2 linked regions of the Rattus norvegicus genome follow. The protein of the gene in region 2 purifies or fractionates together with the protein of the main gene of each other region. This does not show direct contact. Links are inferred from orthologs where the notes say so. Each region holds a gene or a part of one and is shown on either strand. Other genes may lie near its edges.

What was found. The genes of interacting proteins can lie anywhere in the genome.
Region 1: the proteins of Cstf2 (region 2) and Cstf3 fractionate together in Homo sapiens (co-fractionation; 4 studies listed by BioGRID and IntAct, with this or other methods). This does not show direct contact. The link is inferred for Rattus norvegicus from reciprocal best matches to the Homo sapiens genes CSTF2 and CSTF3.

Annotation. Positions count from the first base shown.
Region 1 is NC_086021.1:111,419,806-111,424,090, forward strand, and holds the start of Cstf3 (cleavage stimulation factor subunit 3), read left to right. Parts: upstream 1-1,485; 5' UTR 1,486-1,622; coding exon 1,623-1,649; intron 1,650-4,285. UniProt on the Homo sapiens protein: One of the multiple factors required for polyadenylation and 3'-end cleavage of mammalian pre-mRNAs.
Region 2 is NC_086039.1:101,567,535-101,571,034, reverse strand, and holds part of Cstf2 (cleavage stimulation factor subunit 2), read right to left. Parts: exon of another isoform or gene 3,374-3,500; coding exon 3,251-3,373; 3' UTR 3,248-3,250; intron 859-3,247; 3' UTR 1-858. UniProt on the Homo sapiens protein: One of the multiple factors required for polyadenylation and 3'-end cleavage of mammalian pre-mRNAs. This subunit is directly involved in the binding to pre-mRNAs.

The DNA of each region.
Region 1 (4,285 bases), on a different chromosome or scaffold from region 2:
CTCCATTTGGCAATCTTCTACTCCTGGACTATAAAATGGTGTATCTTCCCCACATCCAAGGCTGATCTCTCGAACCCAGCCCTTAGAGACAGCCTGTGTGCATGGATTTTAAAAAAGCTTGTTTTAATTAATTTGGTCATGATTTGGGTTAGTGGTCTTTCTGCTTGTATCTGTGGCATTAACAGCATCCTCTAGATGTTTTGATGAATACGCACACAGATGCACACATATATACATACATAAGCTATTTTATATTCTGCACTTTTTGGGCTTAATTTCGTGGATATCTTTAGAGTTATATATTTATCTTGTGTATGTCTATGCGTTTGTGAGTGCAGAAGTTTACATGCCATAGTGCATGTGTGGAGGTTAAAGAACAACTTTCTGGAGTCAGTTCTATCCTGTCAACTCATCGAATGCTAGTAGGATCAAACTCAGGCTTTTAGGACATCACAGCAAGCACCTCCATTCTTCGAACCACCCTGACTCATTGTGGATATTTTTATAAGTCAGTTACATCAGCAACAGTTTAAAAAATTGACTCTCCATTGTAAAAGACTTCTGAAATATTCAGACCTCCATTATCAAATGTTGCAGTGACTCCTAATATATGTACATGTGATTCACGCGACTGTTTGCTTAAAAGGTGAAATAGAAAGTTCATAGGCCCTTGTCGTCCTGGAGCCTTACAGGACTCGAACTCACAGAGATCCACCCTGCCTCTGTCCCCAGGGTGCTGTGATTTAAGGCCTAAGCCAAAAGAGAGGGTTTTTTTTTTTTTTTTTTTTTTTTTTAATTAAATCTCAGCTGCTGTTGTTATTCTTATCTTTAGGTAAGGAAACAGAGACAGAGAGAATGCAAATTGCCCAGGTTACTCTAGTGAGGTGAGAAGTCTGGGTACAAAGCAACATTTCGTACTATCCGTACTATCACCGCAATTTTGCAGACAAGAAACCATAGTGAGACGCTAAACTAAAATCCCGGGTCTGGTAGTGAACGGTGACAGCAAAAGTTAATACGAACTAGATTTGTTCCTCTCACCCCCAAGAAAAGAAAGTGTACAGAATGCCTTAGTAGACTCCTTATCCCCTAAACACGAGAGGTATTCACTAGCTCTCAACGCTGTTCCCTAAAATGGTCAGTTTGCCTGTACTGAGCGGATTGGCAGTCAGGCTTCAACGGGGAGGAGCCTGGCTCTGCAACTCAGTAATTAAATTCCAAGAAGCGCGGGAGCTCCCAGGCCAATCGGCTGGATCTTTCCGGCCGTCCTCAGAAATCTGGACAGCGGCGTCATCAGTTCCGGGCCGTGACGTTAGCTCACGCGCTGAGCCCGCCCCCTGGGATCGCTCTGCGCTTGTGCACCTCCAATAATCCGGGAGTTGAGCCTCAGCCCCGCCCATTGTCCCGGAAGTGAATACGGAAGCGACTCACACCCCCTCAGCCGGCTGGGGCGCAGCCATTTTAATTCATATCTGAGTGGGCGGTGGCGATTTTTGCGGCGGCTCTGGCTCCGAGGGACAAGGGGTAGCGTTACTGGTTTTGGTGGGGTTGTTTTTAGTTTAAAATTTTCCTTTCTAGCTTCCCATTGCCGGCCCGTGTGTACGTTGTAATCCTCTGAGGCCATGTCAGGAGACGCAGCCGCGGAGCAGGTGAGGAACGGGAGCGGTGGGGCCTCGTGGCGACTTCTCTCTCTGGCCTGTGGGTGCGAACACTCCAGCCCTGTTCGCGTGAGGAAGGGCCCTGGGGATCTAGTGAATCCCGGGGTCGGAAGCACAGCTCCTGAGGTCTCCCAGATTTTGACTTTTCTGTGGCGTTCACACGAAGTATTTGACTTAGACAATAGCTGAGACGTTGCTTCGCCCTGTTCGTTGCACTTTCTTCGGTCGGGACGGTTTATTTCATACCATTTTAGTGTTCCGGTAGTACCGGATTATTTTAACGTATATCTGCGTTGGCAATATTTCTCTCCTCTGCGCCCCAGTCTGCTGTCCCCAGAAATAAAAACTAAACCAATCTGGAAAATTCGGCCCCCGAGAGAGCGAAGGTTAAAAGTAGCAGTCCAGAAGTAGAGCATGGCTCTTCCGAGCTTTGGTGGAATTTTGCTTTCTTTCTCTCTCGTCAAGGAAAACGTTGTTTTTGCTTTTACGAGCACGCAAACATTGCAGAATTTGGTAAATTGAAAACTGGAAATGTGCTTTAGTCACTGTAGGTACCATCTGTTTGGATGGTAGATATGAATGATATCTAAGTATTTTACAAATTGGATTTTTAGATATGAGATCTCACCCTTTTACTGCTTGTTTGTTTATTTTGGATAGGGTTTTACTGAGTAGCCCTGACTAGGCAGGACCTTCTGACAGGCTTGCTTCCTTGGCCTCTAGTGCTAGGGTTATCTGGGAATACTGGCGTGCATCTTCATGTTGGGTTCTTTTGCTCTTTTATATCCTAAATTTTGTAGGCTAGTGTTTGCTTTTTATTGTAAAAAACAAAAATGACTATGAAAGATGTGTGTTTTGATCTTGATCCTAGTATATTTAGTTCTAAAAGAAAGGTGGTCCTACAAAGTTCTAAATTTCCTATTGCTATAGTAACGGAATACACTTGTATTTTTTTTCCTTTTCTTTTTTCCCCAAATCCCCACCTTATAAAGTAAAAATTATTGGAGGTTGATGGATGAGGTAAAATAGGACTGTATGTTAATGAAGTGTAGGTAAATTAGAACTTAATTACTTTGGGAAGTCTTGGCAGTGCTTTTGTATTTTATCTAATGTTAGGGTGCCCACGAATGCAATGTCTTTGAATTATTTTACTTACTAAAACTGTTTCTTTTACTCTGCTCTTCCAGGGCTGGCATTTTTATTTTCTGAAAGGAAGGAGTGGTGTTGAGGTTTCTTTGGATGTGTCTGGAATTCACTGTTTTACATAAATTTGTAAAGACAAAAATATTGCCGTGGTTTTGTTTTAGAACTGTGTGGGTTTTAGTTTTTGTTTTGGTCATACTATTCCACCCCAGGTAGAAATTGAACCTCGGGACCTTGTGCATGCTGGGAAGTACTCAACCGCTGAGTTCAAAGCCTTAATCACAACACAGTGTGCCATATTTCTATGAAAACAACTGTGATGAGACCTTATAAACCTTCATTCTCCAAACCCCTTTTATTTTGACAGTTGTCACTATGTAGTCCTGGCTGGCATGGAACTTGCTATGCTACATAGACCAGGCTGTCTTCGAATTCATGGAGGTCACCCACCTCTGCCTTGCTGAGTGCTAGGAGGAAAGATGGTACACCACCACATCTAGGAGGAAAGATGGTACACCACCACATCTAGGAGGAAAGATGGTACACCACCACATCTAGGAGGAAAGATGGTACACCACCACATCTAGGAGGAAAGATGGTACACCACCACATCTAGGAGGAAAGATGGTACACCACCACATCTAGAAGGAAAGATGGTACACCACCACATCTAGAAGGAAAGATGGTACACCACCACTTTTAGGAGGAAAGATGGTACACCACCACAATAGCCTTTGTAAGATTTAGTTACTCTGTGACTCAGGCAGGCCTTAGATGCAATCTTTCAGCCTCAGCACCTGTAACAGGTATTCCGCCTTTGAATTTTATTACACAGTTTATAACAAAAAAAAGTTGAAGGAAAAACTCATGAACACCCATTATAATTTTCACCAAATCCAACAATGGTTACAGGGTTTGTCGTATATATGTGGTATTGCATGTATGTGTTCATATACATATTTCTTGTGTATGGCAGTGCTGTGGCTTTAAAGGTAGGATCTTGCTCATATTAGGCAAGCTCTACTATTGACTATTGATATATTTTTTTCTCCATAACGCATTTCTTTGAAAGTTGACATATCAAACTTCATTCCAAACTATTTCAACATTCTCTTATGTAATGACATTAATTGTGTAACATTTCTGGCTGTCCTGGAACTCCATTGATAGATCAGGCTGACCTCCAACTCACAGAGATCTGCCTGCTTCTGCTTCCAGAGTGCTGAGATTAAAGGAACCCCTCCTGGCTTCTGTGTTATTTTTTTTTATGATAGGGTCTTGTACAAGTTTGAGGGCAGACTGGCTCAGTTTGTGGCTGATAATGACCTTGAACTTCTACTTCCCAAGTACTGGGATCATAGGTTCTTTCCAGTGCACTTGGCTTGATGATGTGTTTCTAACATATCCATACTCAGAATTGTCAGTTGCATCAAGAATGTGATTTATAGGGCTGAGGATGTGATCAGTTAGTAAAGGTGCTTGTG
Region 2 (3,500 bases):
GTTTTCTGTTGGGAGTTTTTGGAATGGATTTAGAGAAGATGATAGGGCTGAAAGCTTTGCAATTTTCTGAAAGAATGGAATATAGTTTGTTCACTTGGTTTTCTTTATTAAATTTGAACATGTAGAAAACCTTGTAAAGTTGATACATAGACAGAAGAGCTTTACAACAGTCTTAGGTTGTTGATTCACATTCAAACCAGTGCCAAAACAATCTTTGTCTTATGTATGTCCAGACCTGCAACTGACTAAAACCACAGTTTGAGAATTGGCATTCCTTAAACCAAACACACCCCTGTGGTATGCTCTTCGCTTGTTGGTCTTCTAATTGTTTGTAGTTCTAACCACATGCTTTTTTTCTCCCAGAAAACTCTAAGACTGGAAAGTTTTCAAGGGCCAAAGTCTTATTACCTTGCTGAAAGCAAATTCAACAAAAAACAAAGTTCCTAAAAACATTGTTTCTGAGAAATTCTCAAGTATCATTAAGAAGAATAAATGTTTATGCTAAAGTAAGAATAGAGCTACGGCAATGTAAGATTAAAGAATGACACTGCAGTAAGGTCAGAAATCACAGCTAAGCTTTTATCCTTGGTGTTAGCTTCTTAACAGCAAAAGGATTATGTATTTCAATTTGTAATATGTTAAACTTATGTTCAATGTTTATTTAACATCACAGAAAATATACAAACTACGACATCAGAATGAACTGTTTTCCTTTGGAGAAATGGTGATGCAGGTCCTCCACCTGGTACCAATCTGAGTCATCCAGGGGGGTTAGATGCAGAAGTCACTATGTTTTCAACATTTCAACAATGTTATGGAATTACATTTCCAGATTTGTTGCCAGGTATTTTTGAGAACCTGTAAGACAAATTTGGGAGAAAGGTATTTTAAGTGGACTTTTCTTTCCTAAACATCAGGAAAAAACAACCACCGTCACAGAACAAAAGTGGACTGAGAGAAGGGAGGATGTGCTGACCATCAAATAGCCATTGTCTGACTCTTATTGTGTCTCCCCATCGTCCTTTGTAGCAGGGTTTCTCAACCTTAGCATTATAGGGACATATTTAACCAAATGTGCGCTCTTAGAAGAAGGAGTGAGGGAGATATCCTGTGCATCATTATGGGATGTTCAGAAGCATCTCTGATCTGTACCCATGGAATGACAGTGGTATACTGTAACTTTCTAAAGTTTTGACAACATAAATTGACAAATATACCATAGATACGTAAACTTCCCCTACCTCAAAACTACCTTTCTCATATATGTATATGTGTCTATGAGGGCAGAAGCCATGGGGTGAAGTGAACTTCAAGTGATAACAAGCCTTAGAAGACTATCCACCTGGTTTGAGACTGGCTGTCTCATTGGGGTCTAGGGATTACTGATTAGGTTAGGGGGGCTGGTCAGCAAACCCCAAAAATCTTCCTGTTTCTACCTCCCCCTCTAAGATTACCAGGGTGTACCACCACACCCAACTTTTCACGTTGGTACTAGGGTTTGAACTTGGACGCTCAGGTACTTCTCAAGTGTGTGCACTTTAGGAACTGAGCGATCTCTCTAGTCTAAGTACTACTTATGTCTAATAGTGATGAATACGTCTCTCTGGGATGATGGAAAGAAATCAAATCTTAAGTTTAGGAGGAAAAGCCACTGCTTCAGCCACAGCGTTCATAAATGCCAGTAGAGTTTGATCACATAAAAATCACAGTTGTGTTTTCACATCTCCTGGTATAAATTAGCACCGCCACAGTTATAAACACTGAATCGTCTACAGTCTCGCTCACAGTAATACACCAACGACAAGTGCCTGGGCCTGTACTTCAAAAGAAAAGTGTAAGATGTTATCACTGTGAGAAGCCATACAGGCCCTTTGTATTAGTTTTCCAAATCCCTGTAAAATAATGATCATTTGAAAAGGTTAAAATTAAAAAAAATAAAGAAAGTAAAATCCTGCACTGAGGTCAGGATGCAAGGCAAATGAGAGATAACTGAGAGTATACAACTTTCTAAAACCAGTCATTTGCTCATACTGCAGAGAATGCCTTCTTTGACGTACCTTTTAAAATGTAAATCCCTATCACTATTATAATCCATGTTTCTATTGAAGAAATAGAATGTGTACGATATAAGGGGGAAAAGGTAAAATAGGATATACTAAATGTCTAGTTAGCTAACCATCAATGATCCAATTATAGTTTAGGCATTTAAAGTCTCCATAAAATACAATGCATATTTGTAGTTTGAAAGCTTTAAAGGTACTACAAATATGAACTACATACAGTATAGTTAGTAAGACATGGTAACATGTGTATGGGATTTATAAGGCATATGGATAAAAGATAAAGGTTCCAAAAAAGACATTACAACAGGTACAGGACAATATACATTTTAAATTGCTTTCAGAGAACAGGATTGTTTATGAAATATAAAGATGTTGGGAAATATTTTAAAAAACAAAACAATATTATACAGCTAGTTTGGTCATATGATTATTTATGAGGCAAGTGCACCTGGATCCTTCTTACCTGATTTATAAAGGAGAAAAGTTGTGTACAGTCATCTTTATGATGTAAAGAAAGTGATGGTGACAGGGACATCTACTACTTTAAATGGCTTATAATAATGAACCACCAAAATGCTCATTACGAGGGCTGAGTTATAGCTCAGCTGGTATATTCTATGCTTCGAGTGCATGGATCCCTGTTTGATCTCTAGGAAGCAAGGCTTTTCACATTTACTAACCTCTCTTTCTTCTCTCTTTCTTTACTTACATTTATTTACTATATTTGGGTGCACATAAGCTACCGTGTGTGTGTGTGTGTGTGTGTGTGTGTGTGTGTAAGGTCAGAGGACAGATTGAGAAGAGTTGGTTCTCTTTTCTAGCATGTAACTTCTGTGGATCAAACTCAGTTAATCAGAACTGGCAAAAGATTTGGTACTTTTACCTTCTAAGCCATCTTGCTGGCCCTACCTTTAATTTTCTACATTCCTGTGTCTTATTAATTTTAGGAAACCGACATATTAATTTCACTATTATAAAAGGCTGAAAAAGATTGTAAGTAATTCAACAACTGAACAAATGTTTTACAGCCTTAACATATCCTCAGAGGTACTGATTACTGAATGGTAAAGAGAACCTAACGAAGACTGAGGGTCTCAGAGAACATTACGCTGCTAAAGGTTGAAGTTATGTACTTCACACACAGAAGGACTTAGTCCTGCCCAGGTGCCACTCAGTCAGCTCACCTTTCAAGGTGCCCCGGTGGATTTCTGTATCTGTTCCTTTAAGATTAGGATGCTCTGTCTTTGCTCAGGAGGCAGCATGGCAATCTGGTCTGCAGTGAGTTGAAGGACCTGCATAATCAAAGCAGCCTGTGCAGAGGAAAGGAAAGCTGTGAATTTCAAGGACAAGTCAGAAAAACAAATAAAACAGAAACATCACCAGCTTCTAGCTAAAAGGCTACTGTCATGGGATATGAAGCAAGATGAAAAAAGGGAG